Linked DNA regions of Oreochromis niloticus. The protein of the gene in region 1 purifies or fractionates together with the protein of each later gene. This does not show direct contact. Links are inferred from orthologs where the notes say so. Each region holds a gene or a part of one and is shown on either strand. Other genes may lie near its edges.

Evidence for each region.
Region 2: the proteins of rabggtb (region 1) and rap2c purify together in Homo sapiens (co-immunoprecipitation; 3 studies listed by BioGRID and IntAct, counting the BioPlex papers as one, with this or other methods). This does not show direct contact. The link is inferred for Oreochromis niloticus from reciprocal best matches to the Homo sapiens genes RABGGTB and RAP2C.

The regions. Positions count from the first base shown.
Region 1 is NC_031982.2:25,764,279-25,774,504, reverse strand, and holds rabggtb (geranylgeranyl transferase type-2 subunit beta), read left to right. Parts: upstream 1-5,196; 5' UTR 5,197-5,305; coding exon 5,306-5,308; intron 5,309-5,641; coding exon 5,642-5,749; intron 5,750-6,062; coding exon 6,063-6,260; intron 6,261-6,567; coding exon 6,568-6,673; intron 6,674-6,994; coding exon 6,995-7,047; intron 7,048-7,354; coding exon 7,355-7,465; intron 7,466-7,900; coding exon 7,901-8,026; intron 8,027-8,560; coding exon 8,561-8,710; intron 8,711-8,903; coding exon 8,904-9,044; 3' UTR 9,045-10,126; downstream 10,127-10,226. Other genes in the region: acadm (medium-chain specific acyl-CoA dehydrogenase, mitochondrial), read left to right, coding at 1,142-1,272, 1,450-1,558, 1,806-1,946, 2,893-2,988, 3,102-3,350, 3,439-3,510. UniProt on the Homo sapiens protein: Catalyzes the transfer of a geranylgeranyl moiety from geranylgeranyl diphosphate to both cysteines of Rab proteins with the C-terminal sequence -XXCC, -XCXC and -CCXX, such as RAB1A, RAB3A, RAB5A and RAB7A.
Region 2 is NC_031966.2:20,429,496-20,439,904, reverse strand, and holds the start of rap2c (ras-related protein Rap-2c), read left to right. Parts: upstream 1-5,569; 5' UTR 5,570-6,265; coding exon 6,266-6,538; intron 6,539-7,185; coding exon 7,186-7,464; 3' UTR 7,465-7,471; intron 7,472-10,409. UniProt on the Homo sapiens protein: Small GTP-binding protein which cycles between a GDP-bound inactive and a GTP-bound active form. May play a role in cytoskeletal rearrangements and regulate cell spreading through activation of the effector TNIK.

The DNA.
Region 1 (10,226 bases):
ATAGATCTTTTAGAGCCTTTCATGCAGCAAGAAGTTCAGAAAGAATATTTTGTTGCTCTGGGGAAAAACAAAAAGGACCTAACTTCTTCAACTAAACAACAAAGTTGGTACAGAGTCATTAGATCCTGGTGCAAATAAAGAATTTCCTAGATTTGAATTTCTTAATTGTAATCCACTAATTGTTTGTTCCTCACTTTGGTAAATGGTTTGTACAGAGGGAGTGGTGTCCAGAGTCTTTACATTTACACATTTATTTTATTTTTTTATATTTTATGTTTTTTCAAGATGGTTTAAAAAGAAGGGAAAAAAGACAATTCCTGATTACTTAACTGTCTGTTTGGATGAGTTGATTTATGCTGGATGTCCTCAAGTCCTCTTTCCGTGCCCATCTGTAGCTCCTGCTGCTCTGTTGTGGACCTTTTTTGTAGATGACTTTTTTTGGTGCAAACAGTTCAGCTGCTCGGTGATGCTAAAAAGTGGATCACTACTTCAGTGGAGAGCCCGTCTGATGACTGGTTGCCAACCTTTTCGTGCTCTCTGTGCATCCTTTCCATCCACTGGGATCGCCAGTTTGATGTTCCATGCGTATAATCCAGAATCTCCTGTAGACGCTTCTTGAGCTTTATCACAGAAAGTTCTTCTTTATAGGAACTGTTGTAATCTTTAAGTTGCTATGACCCACCTAACACTTTGAAGGACACTGACAGACAGTCACATCACAAATCTCTTTAATATATGGTAGCAGAAACGAACACATTTAAGCCTGCGGCTTCAGTTTCTACGACCTTTGGCTGTGACTCTTTTTAAAGCACCACCTCAACATATGGTGGGCGCAGGTGACATCAATAATCAACCTATCAACAACGACAAGCACAATGACTGAGGATTTAACTTTCAAGTTTGTTTGTTTTTTAATACCCTTTATAGAATAAATGGTAACAAATGAAGGAAAGTTTGTTTGTGTAGGAGACTTTGAATAACAAGGCAGTTCAGAGTGCTTCTTGTTATACCGTCATGCTTTATTTATTTTGTAACAAAGACCATAAACTCTGTGTTTTACTACTGTGTGCTGAAAGCAGCAAACATGCAATGAAAGACGGTGCTGCTGTTTTCAGTTTAACTCCTGTGTGGTTTTCTGCAGGCGTACTGTGTCACTGAGCCCGGGGCAGGATCTGATGTGGCCGGCATCAAAACACGAGCTGTGAAAATGGGCGACGAGTATGTTGTTAATGGGCAGAAGATGTGGATCACCAACGGAGGGAAAGCTAACTGGTGTGTGCTCACAGTCGCTGCTGATGTATTGCATTCGTTAAAGTTGTAGTGATCAGTTTTAAAGGGCATTCATCCTCAAGGCCACTCTGAATGCTGAAATTTGTGCTGCTCTTCTCTCTTTTCTCTCTGATTACTACAGCAACTTCTGTCTGGTAATTTAGTCTCTAATACTTTTAGGTACTTCCTGCTTGCTCGCACTAACTCAGATCCCAAATGTCCAGCCAGCAAGGCTTTTACTGGCTTCATTGTGGATGCAGACACTCCAGGAGTTCAAATAGGAAGGAAGGTAAGCTGAAAAAGAGTCTTTCAAAACATTAATCACATTCTTCAGTGAGCAAATCATATTTTAAATGTTGCAGAAGTTTGATGCTCTGTTCTATAAACATTAGACACATAATGTCAGATAATTACTTTACTGAGTAGTGCAAATGATAGCATTGTTTGTTAAAAATTATATGTAATAAAAGGAGGAAAAATGTTCAGTTTGTAAATGCATCCCATTTAAAAATTTTATTTTGTTTTTGTGCCTGTAGGAAATGAACATGGGCCAGAGGTGTTCTGACACGAGGGGCATTACCTTTGAGGATGTGAGAATACCGAAGGAGAATGTCCTGATCGGAGAGGGATCTGGATTCAAAATTGCCATGGGTGCCTTTGACAACACCAGGCCACCAGTAAGTTTTCCAGCTGTGACAAAACCTAACATCTGTAACGACTGTGCATAGCTTCATCTTTACAAGTAGATTTGCAATCCAAAGATGGTGTTGTGTACAGAAGTAAAGACGTGATTCATCTTTTGGCATCAAATTATATCTGCAAATAAAAGGATTAGAAATTGCAGGGCAAAAAACTGAAGTTATTGGTCTTTAAAGGTGTTAAGCAGTGGATTTTTTTTTTTTTTCCTCTCATTTGAATCTCCCAATTTAACTTGCTAGAGTTTAAGGGATATATATTTGTGCTACTGGAGAATTAACACTTACAGTTAAGGAGAATATCTTATTTATTATTTTCACTAATATTGATCAAAGTTGTCTCTGAGCTGGTAGTTTGAGTGTGACTCAGCAGTACAAAGATGCACTAGTGTGGGCTCTTAAATTTTTTTTTTTCCACTCACTCGCATGCTAAAGGCTCGTCACACGAGACTAATTCAAAGGTGTGCTTAAAAAATATGAACCATGATTGAAATGGAGATGATTGGGTGCCAGTTTGGCTCAGTGGTTGACCATGTGACTGCATGCCGCATGGCCAGAAGAGCAGTGGTCCGGGCCTTGAGGCGACTTCTGTTGTGATTTGGCACTATATAAATAAAATTGAATTGAATTGAATTGAAGTCTGACCTCCTGCCCTTTGCGGCCTGTTTTCCCCTCTCTCCCTGCTTTCCTGTCAGTCCACTGTCTCTATCCTATATAGGCAAAAGCCAAAAAAACCCTGGCTTTGTTTCACAAACAGTTTATGAGCTGCTTCTGTCACAACAGGAACTTTGAAATGTAGTGAAACAGCACCAGGAAACTAAACAAGAACTACAGTGGATCAAACATTACCAGATTTAAGGACAAAAGTTTAAACTTGTAGCTGAAGATTTGTCTGAGCGTGGTTGTTTATGTTTTTGCTGCAATGCAGGTGGCAGCAGGAGCTACCGGCCTGGCACAGAGGGCACTCGACGAAGCCACCAGTTACGCTCTGGAGAGGAAGACCTTTGGCAAAGTTATTGCTGAGGTGTGTTCAAGCATTTTGTTTGTCCTTTAAATCTGGGTATCCTTAGTTGGACTGCTTTTGTTTTAAACTCAGATGAAGAAAAGATCAACGTGCTTCTGTTTCCTGTTTCGCAGCACCAAGCTGTGTCCTTCCTGCTGGCTGAGATGGTGATGAAAGTAGAGCTGGCCAGGATGGCGTACCAGCGTGCTGCCTGGGAGGTGGACCAAGGCCGCAGAAACACCTACTACGCTTCCATCGCCAAGGCCTTTGCAGGGGACATCGCCAATCAGGTGGCCTCTGATGCTGTTCAGGTATTTGGAGGCAACGGCTTCAATAGCGAGTACCCTGTAGAGAAGCTCATGAGGGATGCAAAGATCTACCAGGTGGGTGACAATAATGTGCAACTATGCACTGCCTGCACCATCTCTGCTTCATCTTCTTTAATTAATCTGATTTTTTTTTTTTTTGTAGATCTACGAGGGCACAGCTCAGATCCAAAGGCTCATTATTGCCCGAGAACACCTGGGAAGAGCCAAGAAATGAAGTCTGCTCATCCTCATTTAAACTTACTTTTCATGTTTGGCATACATAATGTACTTGTTTCTGTTCCTTTTGGTCACTTGAACTCAGGATAACGATCAAAATTTTGCCTTAATGTCACTTCATCCTACTGCGGTTTTCAAGACTGATCCAGATCAACAAGACCCATCAGCCTCCTTTGGCCTCAGAATTCACGATGCCACAAGTTACACCAATCCATCAAGTCACAGAATATGACACCGCTATCTCCTGTTCACAGAACAGTTTCTGTTAATGATGGGGGCTGGGGCATACTGTGTAGCATTAATACGGTGTGATCTGCCAATTGCCTGTTATGCTGTGAAGCTTCTGCTGATGAACCTGAACTGTTGGGACTAAAGTTAGAAAAAAGGGACTAGGATTGGACTAACATTCAGCCTTACACTGTTGCTGCAGTACTTTAACAGTGTGATTGGTGTTTGATCACATTCACTCTTCTTTGCATCAAAAGTTTGATAAATGGTCATTAATTTCTTCATGCCTTACTCCAAGCCTTTTCTCTCAGTTCTGGCTCTCATACTGATCTTTGTTTGTTTGTGTTTTGCTTTTGTTTTTGTTTTTTTAAAACAAAAGGTTTTAAATGTAGAAATGAATTTCTTACCAGAATGTGTAAACATACTGATGTTTGTAAATTTGCATGCTGTCTGAAAACAGTTTGATTTTACATTTAGCTGCTGTCTCTTCTACATTTAAAATGAATATCCAATGTTTAAAGCGTCAGCTTTACGTCTTACCTGTGCAGACAAGGCACATGTGGATGAGATGAAGATAGACCATTGTCACATCATGGAGAATTGTGTCCATAAATTGTCACTGAATAAATTATTTCATTCAGTCTAAACATCTTTTTTTTCTTCTTCTCCTTTCTCCCATTTGCTAAATCAACAAGCAGTTTGAGTCTTTTCTAAATTTCATTTCTCCTGAGTTCTCCACATGCTGAGATGAAGCTCATTACCTAATGACAGAGCATTCACAAGCATGTCTTTTTTAATTTTCTTTTTATTGCAAGCTTCACTTGTTAGGAATCTGTCAAATATTCATTATACTTAAGGACTTTTAAAACAACTTCTTTAACGTTAAAAAGTCAAAGTCTGCTTCATTTTCAGTTCTGTAATTGAAGTAATATGTGTAGATAACAGCAATATAGTCTTCAAGACAACAGCAGCACTAATGTCCTTTATGTTAAGGCTAGGTGTAAGACACATTGCTCATGTATATGTGTGTGGGTTGGTTAGAATCCAGTCTTCTGGGGGGGCAGAGTGGGAAGTGAGTAGAGGAAGGAAGGAGTTCAATATTTTGACAGCCTGGTGGATGAAGCTGTGTCTCAGTCTGATAGGGGAAGTCACCACAATGCTGACTGCTAGGCAGGTGTTACAGTTGTCCAGGAGGGAGGGCAATGAAGCAACCAGTGGTCTTTTCTGCTGCATTTACTATGTGATTCAGGTGGTGGAGTTTCTAAACCACACAGTGATGTAGGTGGTCACAGTGTTTTCAGTGGTGCCTTGCTTGAAGTTGCACATGATGGTTATAGAAAAATAATTGCAGTGGGAAATTTTCCCCCAACACTGAAAAATAAATGACTTGAGTAAGATACCTGAACATTTGTGCTTAAATATATTTGAGTAACAAATATCACTTCAAATATGAGAATTTAGGCTGCGGTTCTCCCTCCAAACCAATAGGTGGCAATAACGCGCTCCAAACCAACAGCCCGAATTGTTGTTGAAGAGGAAGAAGGAAAACGCCGGATCATGTCAGAATGGTAACCAGCGACCTGTTTCTAGTGTGATAAGGAGTGTAGTTTAGGATAACATTACAATAAAAGATTATTTAAATGTGCTCTTTCCTCTAGTCTATCCAAACTTAGTCTCACACAATCGAGCTAATCAGTGAAAGCAGCTAGCAGAGTGGCTAAGATGTTAGCATGTAGCAGCCTGTCAACAAGCCGTGAATCATGTTAACAGTCAGCCATTTATCTGCTAAACAGGGGTTAACTCAGCGCTAGATTATGAAGAGGAAGAAGTCAAGTTAGATTTTTTCAGGTTATTGAGTTTTAGGGCTGTCTGACGTGTTGTTGGTGTGTGTTGAATTTCAGGGGACCCAGGTGAAAGATGTGATCATAAAGCCCGACGCTCCCAGCACGCTGCTGCTGGAGAAACACGCAGACTACATCGCTGCATACGGCTCCAAAAAGGACGACTATGTGAGTACATGCCTCCTCAGAGCCTTGATATCTGTGTTTCTACTCTGGGCTTGGCCACTTGCAAGAAAAGGGTGATCGTTGTCATCCCGCCACTCCAGTGATGACAGTGATCCTACCCAAAGGGAATGAGGTGAATGGGATGAGAAAGTGTGGGACTCAAATTCTAAGGGGTCGCTGAATGGGTGGTCTTCAAAACCCTCCAGATAACAATCCAGTTGAGCTTCTGTGGTAGGCTTTGGAGTTTAGAGGGGCAATCACTAAAAAGCAGCCAACGTTTTTGAACTAACGCTGCCGACCTTTGGTGGTCTGTCAGGAGTACACGCTGTCTGAGTACTTGAGGATGAGCGGCATCTATTGGGGGCTGACTGTGATGGACCTGATGGGCCAGCTACCCAGAATGAACCAGCAGGAGATCATAGACTTCATCAAAGCCTGTCAGCACGAGTGTGGAGGCATCAGCGCCAGCATTGGACATGACCCCCACCTGCTCTACACTCTCAGTGCCGTCCAGGTAGCAGATTACGCTCTTATTCTCTACAGCTTTATGGCTTTAATTCTAGATGATACACTGAACTTTTAAATATTTATATGTGCTTTAATATTTCTGAATTGGCCCCTCTTTAGCAAAATTTTATAGCAGTTCTAGTGTCCTCTAGATGTTTATTTATTTTTCTGCATAGTGCTGCTTATATTTAGCTCAAATAATCATCTCAAATTGTGTGCCATAGTGTCTGGTTTTTGAATGACCTTGAATGGTCTGCACATGGTGTATTTTATGTTCTCTTGTTTATTAGTATTTTGTGAACTCTCTTCCTCAGATCTTGTGCTTGTATGACAGCATAGATGCGATTGATGTGGACAAAGTTGTGGAATATGTCAAAGGGCTGCAGCAGGAAGATGGCTCTTTTGCGGGGGACAAGTGGGGTGAGTGAGTTTTACTCTCACATCCCACAATTGACATAATCAGCCCACACTTTTCATGTCTTTTATCTTTCAAATATGAAACTAGTTACAGCTAGTTTGAAGCTATTCACGTGATCTTGACTGCTACAGTCTTGACAAACAGATTTAAATCTGTCATGATAGATCGGTTAAAAAAAAAAAATTATAAATTGTATTACTGAATTATAAAATCTTTATAAAATCTTTGCATGCAACTTTCACTTAAGGCTTGCAGCAAAAATGCAATAAAGTACCGTTTTCATGTTAAAATAGTGTAACTTGTGTATCTTTTTGTCTTTGCAGGAGAAATAGACACGCGGTTTTCCTTCTGTGCAGTTGCTACACTCGCATTACTGGTACGTATGTTAGTCTTTCCATGTATATTATTATTAACATGATTTATTATTTAACTTAAAACTTTTTTTAGTTGAACCTGTTTTAGAAAGTCCATTACTCGGCCGTGTTATGTGGGAGCATCAGACTTCATTTGTGTCGATAAAATGAGGCTAAATAAATAATAAAGTTACACAATATCACAAAGTTCATCAGTTGACTCAACAGCTCAGCTCTTTCATTCTTAAGTCTTAACAAGCATGTTTTAATAAACTGTGTTACTTTCAGCTCATTATAATTCATTTTAAGATGATGGTTTTTGTTTCCCAGGGCAAGATGGATACGATCAATGTTGACAAAGCCGTAGAGTTTGTTTTGTCATGTATGAACTTTGATGGAGGCTTTGGATGCAGACCTGGTTCTGAGTCTCATGCTGGTCAGGTGAGTTCACCGATATACTGATATTTACTCCCACAGAAAAGTTTGGAGACTCTCGGAAGTGTTTTGTTTCTATTTGATAGAAAATAGAATTGAGCCAAATTGCAATTATTTGTTAATAGATTCAATAATCATAACAATTTCATTTTTTTAATGAATTGTTGTCAGACAGTTAGTAAATCAATCTTTTTGAACAAAAGCAGGAAAACTCTTTTCAGTTTCAACCTAAAATAAAATAAAGGAATGATATGTTAAGTTGACACTTCCTGCCTGATTTGATCCTGCACACCAGTCTTGTTGAATGAAGCTGACTTGTAGAAGAGGCCAAGACAACTGCAGTGGATGGATGACGTTTTCAACCTGGATATGGCAAATTTGGCACTTTAGGATCAGTTGGTATTAAAATCAATTTCCGGCGTTTTCCTTCCTGTCTGTCAGATTTACTGCTGCACTGGCTTCCTGTCGCTCACTGGCCAGTTACACCAGTTGAACGCTGACCTGCTGGGGTGGTGGCTGTGTGAGAGACAGCTGCCGTCTGGAGGCCTGAATGGTCGACCTGAGAAGGTTTGTGCCAAACACTGTGAAGTATTGAGTTATTTAATGAAAGTATCTGGGTTTTATGGTTTGAAATTCAGACTCTTTTGCAGTTGAAGAGTTTGAGCTGTAGAAGCAATAATGTAGATGGAACAAGCTGATGATTTATTGGATTGGATTACCTGGTAATAAATACAGTTTTTAAGCTTAAATAAAATATTATTGAGTCTGAAAGGAGGAGATCAGCTTCCACCAAAGGGTGGCTGGGTTCTTCCTCTTCTTTGGGCCTCAAAGTAGAGCCACTCCTCCTCCACATCGAAAGGAGGCAGTTGAGGTTGTCAGACCTCAACTAGTATCTGACTAAGACTGACTGGGCTGACTGACTGGACGCCTCCTAGGTGAGGTGTTTCAGACATATCTTACTAAGAAAAGTGGAACTAAAGGAGGTGGAGTGGGGAGAGGGAAGTCTCAGTGTCTCTGCTAAGACTGCTGCCTCCATATTCTGAAATGGGATATGGCAGAAAATATGAGCAACAGCTGTGGTTTACTTTCGGTATCATTCAGCTTCCAGATGTGTGCTACTCGTGGTGGGTTTTGGCCTCGCTGAAAATCATCGGCAGGATCCGCTGGATTGACAAAGACAAGCTGCGAAAGTTTATTTTGGCCTGTCAAGACGAGGAGACGGGAGGTTTTGCTGATAGACCAGGAGATATGGTGAGAAGAATTTTAAGAATCTAAATTTGAATATTTATGTTTTGGACTGAAAAAAAAAGTCTTTGCATGTGAGGTAAAGCAGGCAGTTTCAAAGACACTGAGTGCGAAGCGTTTTGGTCCACTTCTGTGGCCCACTTTTGTAGTATTTTCTTTATAATCAGTCTTATTGATTCTTGTTAATCCTCCTTTGCAGGTGGATCCTTTCCACACCCTGTTCGGGGTTGCAGGTCTCTCCCTGCTTGGAGACGAACAGATCAAACCGGTGAATCCAGTGCTGTGCATGCCCGAGGACGTCCTTCAGCGTATTGGCCTGCAGCCTGACCTCCTCAGCTAACCCTCTGATGCATCACACAGACACTTTTTCCACCCGCACAAACAGAGGCTCATGGCACGGCTGGATTTCAGGTGCACAGAGTCTCACAGTTTGGACATGACTTCCTCTGAACCTCTCTGTTTTAATCTCCTGCTACTCATCGAGTCGGTGTTCTCGTGTCACTGCAACGAAAGGAGGGGGCTTAAAAAGATGCTTTGAAGTGTCATCATCTTTGCAGAAGGCTGGAAATCATGCAAAAACATTCAACAACATGCAACAACAACTTCTCAACTTACTCACTATGTCAGTTTGAGGGGGAAAATGTGAAAGTTTGCTCACAGTTAAAATGTTTCATCTTCCTGATGTTATCACCTTCCACCTTGTCCTCTAGCCAAGAAGCTATTAGTGTTATGAGTTTCTTTGGCCAGAAGTTCCTTCTATTCTGTCCTATCGTGCTTTATTATCATGTTTGTTACTGGAATGACTGGGAATATTCATAGCTTATCAGCTTTGACCTTGAGAGTGAAGAATGGAAGCGATGAGTCAGATGAATTTGGCTGAGGGAGAAAAGGTAAAAGTTAGATTTGCTGTTTTAGTATGTTGTTACACATAAAGCTAGAGCTTTTTCAATTTCCTGTCTTTAGCTTATTATGTATTTGATAAGAGCATGTGAAGAGCAACACTTGTTAGTAGGCTTCAGAAGTGGAGATGCGTCATAGGACAGCTTTTTCAGTGCGTTAAAATAAACCCTACACAGACTCTTATTTTGGCGGGCTTTATGGAAAGAGAAAATGTTCTCTTTGTGACTGGAACCACCCAGAGCTTAAACACTATCATTGGTATGTTTAATGTCTTATCCAGGATCCTAGTTACACTATTTATTTAAATGAATGTTGCTCAGTGCAGCTGTGTTAGATTTGCCTCCACAGTGTGTGCAACATGAAATATTTCCAGTCTTACCGTCAGATGGTTCTGAACCAATGAAATGGCTTTTCAGACAGCTTCACGTTCACTTTGTGCACTCTTCTCGTCTTACAGAATGAACATTTTTCTCTGTTCTTTGTTAACTGTTAAGTGTCAATAAAGAGAGACATTATCAGTGAGTTGGTAAAGCATTCATTCTTATTAGTTTTCCCCTTTTAAGGGCTTTTAATACTTAGTAAATGTCATTGCTCACTAAAATATATTAATATAAAAAGCAAA
Region 2 (10,409 bases), on another chromosome or scaffold:
TCTTATATAGAATATAAGTAAGTAAGTAAAGTTTATTTATAAAAGCACTTGTCACAGAAAATAAGTTATAAAGTGCTTGGCAAAAAAATAGTCTAAAATAAATAAAAACTGGGAAAAATCACGATAAAATATAATAGAAAATTATAGACGTATAAGTAAATGTCATCTGCATAGAAACAACAAGAAACTTCTGTAAAACCCTGAATGATGCCAGCTACAGTAAGAAAGCAGAAAGAAAATAATAATTGGCCCAGGATTGAGCCTTGCGTTTATCTGAGCCTTGCAGATAAATAAGAAGAAAGTCAGTCAAATGGAAAGCATAGCTCTACTAAGGAAAGTATCATGGTCGACAGTATCAGAGGCTGCACTGAGGTCAAACAGACCGAGCAGAGAACAAATCCCTACATCAGAAGCCGTATGAAAGCATGTTTGCTGAACAGCGAAAAGTTAGCCTACAGTAAACGCTACTGAACTGGTCTACAAATATCAAGATGCATAACTATCTATTTATGTGCTGTTTGTGTATTAAATAGCACATAATAAAAGCTAAAGCCAGTCTGTATTTTATCTCATGCAATGCTTTCATCCTAAAATGCTAAAACAGAGGTTTAAAATATCTATTTCAATCTGCAGTTTACATACTTTTAGAGGACACCTTATTTGTAATAACCTAATACCAGATAATTTATCTGTGTAGCTCCACTTTGTATGGAAACAGGCTAGTGCCCCATACAGCTGGTTTAAGCTTCATATTTACTATACAGACATAAGAGTGATATAAAATCTTGTGAATAAGTGTATCTCCCAAAATACTTGAATAAAGTATTTTTAAAGTATAGCTGACTTTCTATCTGCATGGTGGATCAAACAGTATGTAGGCTCATAGCTGTCTCTATGAACCTGATGATCAGAATGTCCAGACAGGTCCCTTTTTCTAAAGACTAGCTTCGTCCAGCCAAGAGAATCCCCTCCTTAAGTGATCCTACCCCTAACATCAGTATGCCTTCACTGACAACCGTCCAGCTGGAAAAACAGAATACTTGATTAATAAACTGTGCCTCTCGAGGGCATTTGAGGTTTTTAAATACATTTAAATGTATCTATTAAGGCTCAAGAGTGTATTAATTTGAGGATTGTGGAGCACCATGAGAAAAAAAAACAAACATTTTTACCTCTTAATTTTGTTCCCTCATTCATTCTCTTGTACTTGATTAACTTTGGGCCTGGTTGTAATTTTTTTTTCCACACGGTCCTGAATCATAACTGTTCAACGTGTGCAGAGCTCTGATCTTCGCTGTCCTGTGATCAGATCCTTCAGCATGTGGACACAGTTAACTCAGTCCTGAGAATACAAACAAAGGGCCTTAATCCTTGATCATATGTGACAGCTGTGTATGAAAATGTATTAAATGTAAGATTTTTTTTTCTGACATAAAAAAAACTCGGCATGAAAATAATAATAACAATAATGATAACAAAAAAATCATTTATATGTAGTTAATAGTTTGTGTAGACCAATATGAAAAACATTATGATATGAAAATCGTTTGTACACAATGATGGAGTCATTGTTAATGGTAATAGTTGCTGTTGCTATGGCAACAAAATGACAACATGGCTACCTTTTTATTATCCTAATAGTGATTTTTTTTCCACAATAATTGAGATGACATACAGCACTAACTTATCCGAAAAGGGAATGTCTAATTATTAGTTTGTCTTGTTGCAACGTGATTGAAACAACTTAAATCCTTGTAATATCCAAAGGTCCTTAGGGGAGGTCAGGCGTTTATTTTGTTTTGTTTATTTGACGTTCATTTTATATTTAGGTTTTTTTCTTCTTGTACATGGTGTTTTTGAGAAATAGGAATGAACTCTGGCTTTTAGAGCAAACATCTGTCAGGGAGGTAAAGAGGCCCTTGGACTAACTGGAAGATCTTTTTCTGTGGAGGCGAGCAGTTTTTGCCGCTTGCCTCCTGCAGACTGAGAGATCTGGCTCAACTTTTGGCCAAGAAGGTGGTCTCGAGGTCTCTTACTGCCCAGCTGTGCTGGGTGATGTCGATCCTCACTGAGGTGTATACGAATGTGTGATGTTCACCTTGTTTGCACTTATGTACATAACTATGTCAGAATACTCAAAATTTATTTTGAATAAATACAGATAAAAGAGTCAATTAAAAAAAATCTAATCAATATATTGTTAACGATATGTCTATTGTTTTCTTACATCTGCCCTTTTGTTTGTTGCTAGAGCCCTGTTCTTTGCTAAGCATGGCACTGCCTAGCTGTAAACTACAAATGATTTGCTTTAAAAAGCTCTTTTTTTTCAGTTCAGTTCAGTTGATTGATCCTCTGTGGTTTAATAATATGCGACCCTGACATCAAACAGGAGAGGTGGATCATATGTAAGAACCTAATCTGAGCAGATGACATGCAGACACATTCCTCTCTCCAGTAAAGCACCGAAATAAAGCACAGAGTAGCTCCATCTGCAGGCTGAAAAACAAAATAGGAGCCGATATTAAATCTGACCACAGAGGAACAGAGATTTAAATTCTCCTTCATCTCTGTCATTTTGTAATTTTTTTTTAAACTCTCCTGTTTCTTGTCATTAACCAAAACAACAATAAATCTGAATTCTCCTCAGGATTTTAGACTAAATTGCAAACAAACGGCTTTTCCAATATTTTCCTCTCCCAGCAGCAGCAGCATCCTCACATGACTCTGGTTCTGCTGATTTGAACATGTGATGCTCTTTATTTGCCCCCAAAGCCAGCGATTTTGTTGCCATGGCACTTCTCCTAGTGTTGGACTGACTGAGTCATCCTGGAGAATCGGTTCACAGCCCTCTGACTGTTGAATATTGACTTCAAAGAGTTTGTGAGCAGGGACGGGTCTCTGAACGACGTGTACCCACAACTCACCAAAGCTTCTCTACTGACTCACCAGCTCCCCTCATCATTGCTGTCCCAGTTTAAGTACATGCTGTGGATTTTAAATCACTGTATTGTTACGATTCATTTTAGTTGTGATTGTGCCTTTAATGTGCAAACTGGACTTTTAGGTTCTACATCTCACTGACTAAAACCGCCACGTGAACTGAGCGTGTGCCAATCATATCAATTTAATTACATCCTCTGTTGAGTCCACAACTTATTTTTTAAATTGGGTACAATCGCCGACTGAACGACACCCCGTGAAAGATGATGAGGGCCAAAGACTGTTCAGGACTAAGCCATAAAAAACTCTGACACTCTTGGGCAGACTTGAACGTGACTGCTGTTTCTTTGTTTCACTCTGTTTTCTGCTTGTGGTGCTTGTATGTGCTGCTGTGCTACATGCCAATTTATTTTGCAGTGTATAGCTAATTATGAGTAAGTTACTGTGCCTATGATGAGTTCTGCAATTTCTGTTTGACCTAAATAAAACACTTCATTGTGATCCTCTTGTGTGTTTTTTCTTTTTGTCTCCTGCATTGCAGACATACACATACAGCAAAAGAAGTATATCAACCACAACTTACACCCTGAACATCTGGTAATGCCCCTAAATGTGCATATATAGCCTCAAAGGACCCCTTTATGCAACAACTGTTAATAATTAAGACTACAATAACACACATGCATCTCACGGGGTTATCTGTATATAAAGTGTTTTGGCACCCAGGAAAGAACTGTTAACCTTTCACAAAAGAGAAATCAGGTCATTGGGATGGAGATGAAAATATTATGGGGTTAAATTTATTCAAGCATAGGGTATAGACACACTGGACATTTTGTTAGGTACACCTTGCCAGTACTGGGAACTGGAAACATTCCTCAGGAATGTTGTAGCCTCAAATCCTGGCCTCAGTTTCCTGTTCTTAGCTGACAATACTGGCACCTGATGTGGACTTCTGCTGCTGTAGCCCATCTGGGTTCATAGATGCTCTTCTTCCTTGGTTGTAACTTGTGGTTATTCGAATTACTGTTGACTCTTATCAGCTTGAAGTAGTCTCGCCATTCTCCTCTGACCTCAGGTATCGACAAGGTATTTTCCCTCAGAAAACCATGCTCTGTAAACCCTGTGATTGTGTGGGAAAATCCCAGTAGATCCACAGTTTCTGAAATACTCAGACCGGCCCATTCATGCCATTTTCAAAGTCCCTTAAATCACAATTCTTCCCTATTTAGATGCTCAGTTTGAACCTCAACATGTCAATACACTGAGTTGCTGCCATGTTATTGGCTGATTAAATATTTGTGTTGATTGAGGAGTTTAAAGGTATACCTTATGATCTCCCCAACAACATATAGTTTAAATCAATAAAATAGTCTATAGCTCAATAAAATTAAATAAAACAGGATCAAACAATTATCTTAATTATCTAAAAAATAAATGAACTCAAATATAATAAGGTAATATAACTATGCATTACAATAAGAAATGCAAAGTGGCTTACTAAAGACAGTATGGCAAAAACCAGATGAAATTAAAGTTTCTTAGATAACAGAGTGCAAAGTGTGATGAATGATGCAGTTTTGAAATTAACTGCATTGTAGAGAGTCACTGTCTTCAGTATGCAGAATTAATCTGAATTAGCAGACCACTAACTTAATCTATTGCAGTAAAAAGCACTATAATAAAACTTAAAGCTATTCAGAGAATGTCGCCCTAATATAAATATAAAAACAGGAATCGAAACTGCTCTCAGAGGAAGTGAGGATGACCAGCTTTCCTATGCTGCTGATGTAAGACTGCAACGTCTGAATTTAGACTGTGTGACATCCTCAGTAACAAGGAGCAATGGTCAAGATGGACCTGCAGCTGATTCATTTTGTGGCTGTTTCTTTAAACAAACTCTTCTTCATATAACAGCAGCATTGTGATTGCACATTAAACCAATCTGTGCTCACAACGTCCAGTCTTGGTGTTTTTCACATCGTGTACTAACACACACCTATGCATCAGTGAAGCTAATCCCCTGGAGGATAGTTTGTAACTTTGTGGGAAAGTAAATGAAACCACTTCCTGTGACAAAAATCTGCTCATTTAGATAACTTGTGTGAATATGATAGGTCTGTATGATAAATCGCTAAATATGTAGGTTAGCAATTATCATTATTATTATTATTCTGCATTCAACTAAATGATAACAAAATTGAAATGGTAACAAATTGTTTATTATGTGTGGACATAACATTAGCTCATCACTTGAGTTAGGTTACTGTTTTATGCTTGAATGACTTAAAGGTCAGTGTAAAACAGTTTTTAAAAATTTTCATCTGAAAATGTTTAGGTACAAGGACTGGACTGAAAATGAGTGAAAAAGAAAAAAGATTTTCTTCAAAAAGCCTGGAGAGCTATTTAGGGGCGCATTTAAAAAAAAAAAACTAATTTAAAGGAATAAGGGGTGGCTCAAGGCATTTACACAGTACTGTATTTAAATAAATAAATAAATGTCAAGGAAAGAAAATGATCCAGTCCCCGCGACCCAGAATTGGACAAGCGGAAAACATGGATGGATGTTAGAAACGAAAAATCCTAATTTTCTGTAACGCTTTTCTGTGCTTTTATTATGAAAACCGTCGCAGCGGAAGTCTGATTCTCGTTAGCGGAAACAGGTTGTTAGCTCCAGGAAATCAGATGGTTGAAAAAAAGCCTTTCTTTCTGAAGCAGAACCCACCCTGTATACAGTCAGATAGATACCGGACCAGTAATAAACTGTAGCCAATGGACGGTGGGATTATAACACTGAGTCTGCGTCGATAACGGGCCCGGTTGCTAGGGCGCCGGGCTGGGCCGGAACCAGAACCAGGCCCAGGCTAAGGGAAGGACGCAGTCAACGCTGCGGCGACACCGGCGGGCTGCTGTGGGGACTATCATGCGGTTTAGGGATAGGGGTCTAATGTGTACCACCGTGACCTGCTGTCAGTAGATAGACAACAAGTTCACTGATCAAAGCCAGCGCTTGTGGTGAATCACATCGATCTAAAGGCTGAAAGCTCGAGGATGGCACAGCGGGATTTCAGCCAGGCGCGAGCTAGCTTTAAGGCTAGCTAACGCCGGAGTTGCCGGACATCAACTTTTGCTCTCTGACTAGCTGGAAAACGTAGAAAAACCCAAGTATGAGCGGTTGAGCTGTGTTTATGTGAATGAGGGGGGTTATTGTATATCGTTTAACTTTTGTGGCTTCTCTCGTTAGCTCTCGTAAAGGCCTGATAAATGTTTGTGGAGCGAGTATAGCAGTCGATAGCTGCTAAGTTAGCCCGCCTTGACCGCCCCAATGAAAGAATACAAAGTTGTCGTGCTGGGCAGCGGCGGCGTCGGGAAATCCGCGCTCACCGTGCAGTTTGTCACCGGCACTTTTATCGAGAAATATGACCCGACTATCGAGGACTTCTATCGGAAGGAGATCGAGGTGGACTCGTCGCCCTCCGTGCTTGAGATCCTGGACACGGCGGGGACGGAGCAGTTCGCGTCCATGAGAGACCTGTACATCAAGAACGGACAGGGCTTCATCCTGGTTTACAGCCTGGTCAACCAGCAGTCTTTCCAGGTACCCCAGATGCACCACACACACCTGGAAACTGCAACCGTATGTGGTTAATCAGGCTGTGATTCATACTTCTCATGCAGGGAATGCTACAAGCCACATTATCGAGATTAAAATGGGAAGGGTAGGGCTCATTTGGATCCCCAATATCTCCATATAGCACTCATTTGTTGAAGGATGGCACCACACAGGAAACAAACAGTGCATAAGAAAGCTTAGATAACTATGAACCAGGTCTACTAAAGAAAATAGTCATCCCACGTCCTGATATTTTAGAGCCTTCAATATTAGCACTCGGTATTTAATGGATAATTACTTTTGAAGTACCAATAAATAAAAGTAACAGTGCTTTAACTGGATGTGAAAAGACGTTTTGGCCTTCCCGAAAGGAAATGTTTAGCAACCCTAAAATAGATATTTGCATATTTCCAAAACTATCAGGAAGATTCACAAATGTCTGCTGGGTAAAACAAAGCTTTACGTCAACAATGTGACCATTTTTGAGCCAGAAAAATCGTAATTAAATGTTTGCATCATGAAGACATTGTGCCTATTGAGAAATAACCAAAGTACGCATCTGCTTGATTATTCATTTTTTGTTTTGTTTAAATTTCAATGTCTCACACCTCTTATTTTTCTCAATCTTTAAGGACATCAGACCAATGCGAGACCAAATAGTGCGAGTGAAGCGCTTTGAGAAGGTGCCGCTGATTCTGGTTGGTAACAAAGTCGACCTGGAGTCTGAGCGTGAGGTGGCCGGATCAGATGGACGGGCTTTGGCTCAAGAGTGGGGCTGCCCCTTTATCGAAACTTCTGCCAAGAGCAAGACGATGGTGGATGAGCTGTTTGCAGAGATCGTCCGGCAGATGAATTACTCCTCGCTGCCGGAGAAGCAGGAACAGTGCTGCACAGCCTGCGTGGTACAGTGAGGAAAAGGTAGGGACATCCTCTAGCAGGGCTGTACCCATGCTCTGGACACACAGCACAGTTGGCCCCTCACTATTTTTACAAAATGTGATAAAATGTCCCTGTAGAGATGGTTCACAAGACTGTGTGGTGTTTTGAGTGCAGTGTGAGGGAGAGAGAGATTCGACTGGAAGTGAGAAAGAAGAGTGGGTGGTGCTGCTCTGGGCAAACTGTTTGGTTTATCTTGTTATCATAAGATCGCAGAAAGTATGCGGCATGAAGAATGCAACTGTCTGCCTGCTCAGGGCTGGGAGGAAGAGCAGGGGGCAATGAAGCAGATGGTCCTATGAGGCGAGCCGCAGAAAGAGGAAAATGTGACATCCTGAAAAAGAATTTATGTTCCAAAACAGGAAGTTCAGTTTAGATTCTGTGAGAGATGCAACCGCAGTTTAAAACCCACCAGCCTTTTAAATCTTATGCAGCTGTAGGATTCTCGCAGGTCATTTAGTCTCAAATTAAAACAAGAAAATCAAGATGGCTGCTTTAAAAATTCTGAGTGCTAAACCGTTAATCATTACTCTGTTAATTCATTGTCATCTTATGGTAATATATGAGGTTGATTCTCCATCAGTAGCTTTAATTTGGACTTTTAAGTTGTTTTTAACTAATGATGACATCTGTTAAGTTCAGGATCAAAAATGTCTCAGATAATCAATAATAAGTCATCCTTAAACCCTTTGGATTTTATTTGAGTCCATGAACACAGCAGATTACTTTTTTTGAAGTACTTTTTCACACTAGAAGTAAACACAGTACAAAACATACAGCTGAGTTTTATAGATGCTTCTGTAGACAGCAGGCACAGATGTGCGTTCCAGATTTTTGAGTTAAGACTGGAATGATATCTGATCCAGTTATTAGATCAGTGAATCCCCAGCTCGGTGTTTTTTAAAAAAAAAAAAAAAGAAAGAAAGAAAAGTCCCAGTGAGCCAACAGATCTGACATTTTAATTTATTATGAATTTATATACTGCTAGCTAAATGCACAACAGTATCATAAATGCGTTTTAGGGCAAAAATAAATGTAGTAGAATAAATGATGCCCCTCTCTTGAGACTCCTGCAGATATTGTTACTACTGTAGAAAGAGAGTGCCTACTGTTGTCATTCTGCAGCAAAGTTTAGAAATCTGCCAGATCAAACAAATTTTAATATTAGATTTTAACTGTAATGTTAGATAACCCAAGTAAAAACAAAATGGAGTTTTTTATTATGGGAAAAGATCTATCCAAAATCATGAATGAACTGTGATTAATTCACAGGGGGTACGTTCAGTTTCACTAGTACACACCCTACCAGACATGTTGAATCAGGAAATCACTTAACTAGAACCTGTCTAACAAAGTGAAGTAGGCTAAATTAACTCAAAAAGCAACACATCGTGCTGTGAGTTAAAGAAACTCAAACAGATTAGAAACATTGACATCTGTTAGTATGGAAAGAGTTAAAAAGCTATTTCTAAGGCTTTGGAACTCCAGTGAATCATGTTAAGAGTCATAATCCGTAAATATAGAGAACTGCAGTGCAGATTCCCAGCAGTGGCTGACCTACCAAAATTACTCCCAAGAGCGCATCAACAACTCATCCAAGAGATCACAAAAGAACTCAGAACATCTAAACAACTTTAGGCCTCGCTTCCTACAATAAATGTCAGAGTTCATGATTCAGAGATAAGAAAGAGACTGGGCAAAAATGGCACCCATGGGAGAATTCCCTGGCAAAAGCCACCGCTGAACAAAACAAACCCAAAGACTTGTCTTGTGTTTGGCAAAAAACAAATGTGAGCCTAAAATGTTTCTGTTACATTAGGTGTAGAACTAATACAGCATTTCATAAAAAGAACATTATATCAACAGCCAAACATGGTGGTGGTAATGTGATGCTCTGGGGCTGCTTTGCTGCTTCAGGACTTGGATGACTTGATGTAATCGATGGAACTATGAATTCTGGTCTCTACAAAAACAAAACAAAGCAACAACAACAAAAAAACCCCTGAAGAATATGCTGCCATCAGTTCATGCTTTGAAGCTCAAAAGCATTTGGGTTTTAAATAGGGATGGGAATTGATGAAAACGGTAATTATGAAACGGTATGTTTCAGGTCATTTTACTGAGAAACACGAAAGTAATGTAACAAATTACTTTCTCATTACCTTTTTAGGAAAAGTGTTCGGCATAATATATGTATTACATTATTTGTTTTAAATGTCCCCCAACACAACAAAGACAGGAAAAGCCTCCAACATGCACAAACATTTAACCACACAGCACTTTCAGTAAGGACTGAATCGATAAGGAATCAATCAGTAAATGATATGGATAATGGAATCTGAATCACTAAATTCTTATCAATTCCCATCCCTGGTTATGCAGTAGCACAATGAGATAAGTCCACCTCTGAATGGACTTAAATCAGATTGAGATGCTTTGGTATGACCTTAGACTATTCATGCTTGAAAACCCTCAAAAGGTATCAGTGAATTAAAACAGTTCTGTACAGAAGAGTGGGCCAGAATTCCTCCAAAGTGATGTGAAAGACTCACTGCCAGTTATCGCAAACACTTTATTGCAGTTCTTGCTGTGACTAGCTCTTATGGTTAGAGGACAATTACTTTTTCACATGGGGTCAGGTAGTTTGGGTTAGTTTTCCATAATATATGAAATCATTAAAAACTGCTTTTTGAATTTTATTTGGGTTATCTTTGTCCAATATTAACATTTGTTTTATGATCTGAAACATGTAAATGTGGAAAAAAGAAACAAAAGAGAAAGCAGGGGCAAATACTTTCTCTCAGCACTGTAACTTCACTGTAACCTTTAAGCATCACTTGCAAGCTTTGAGAATTTCCTTTCCTTAAACGGCAAAACTCAGTGATTTAAAAGAAACATCGGGCATTACCGTGTACACAGT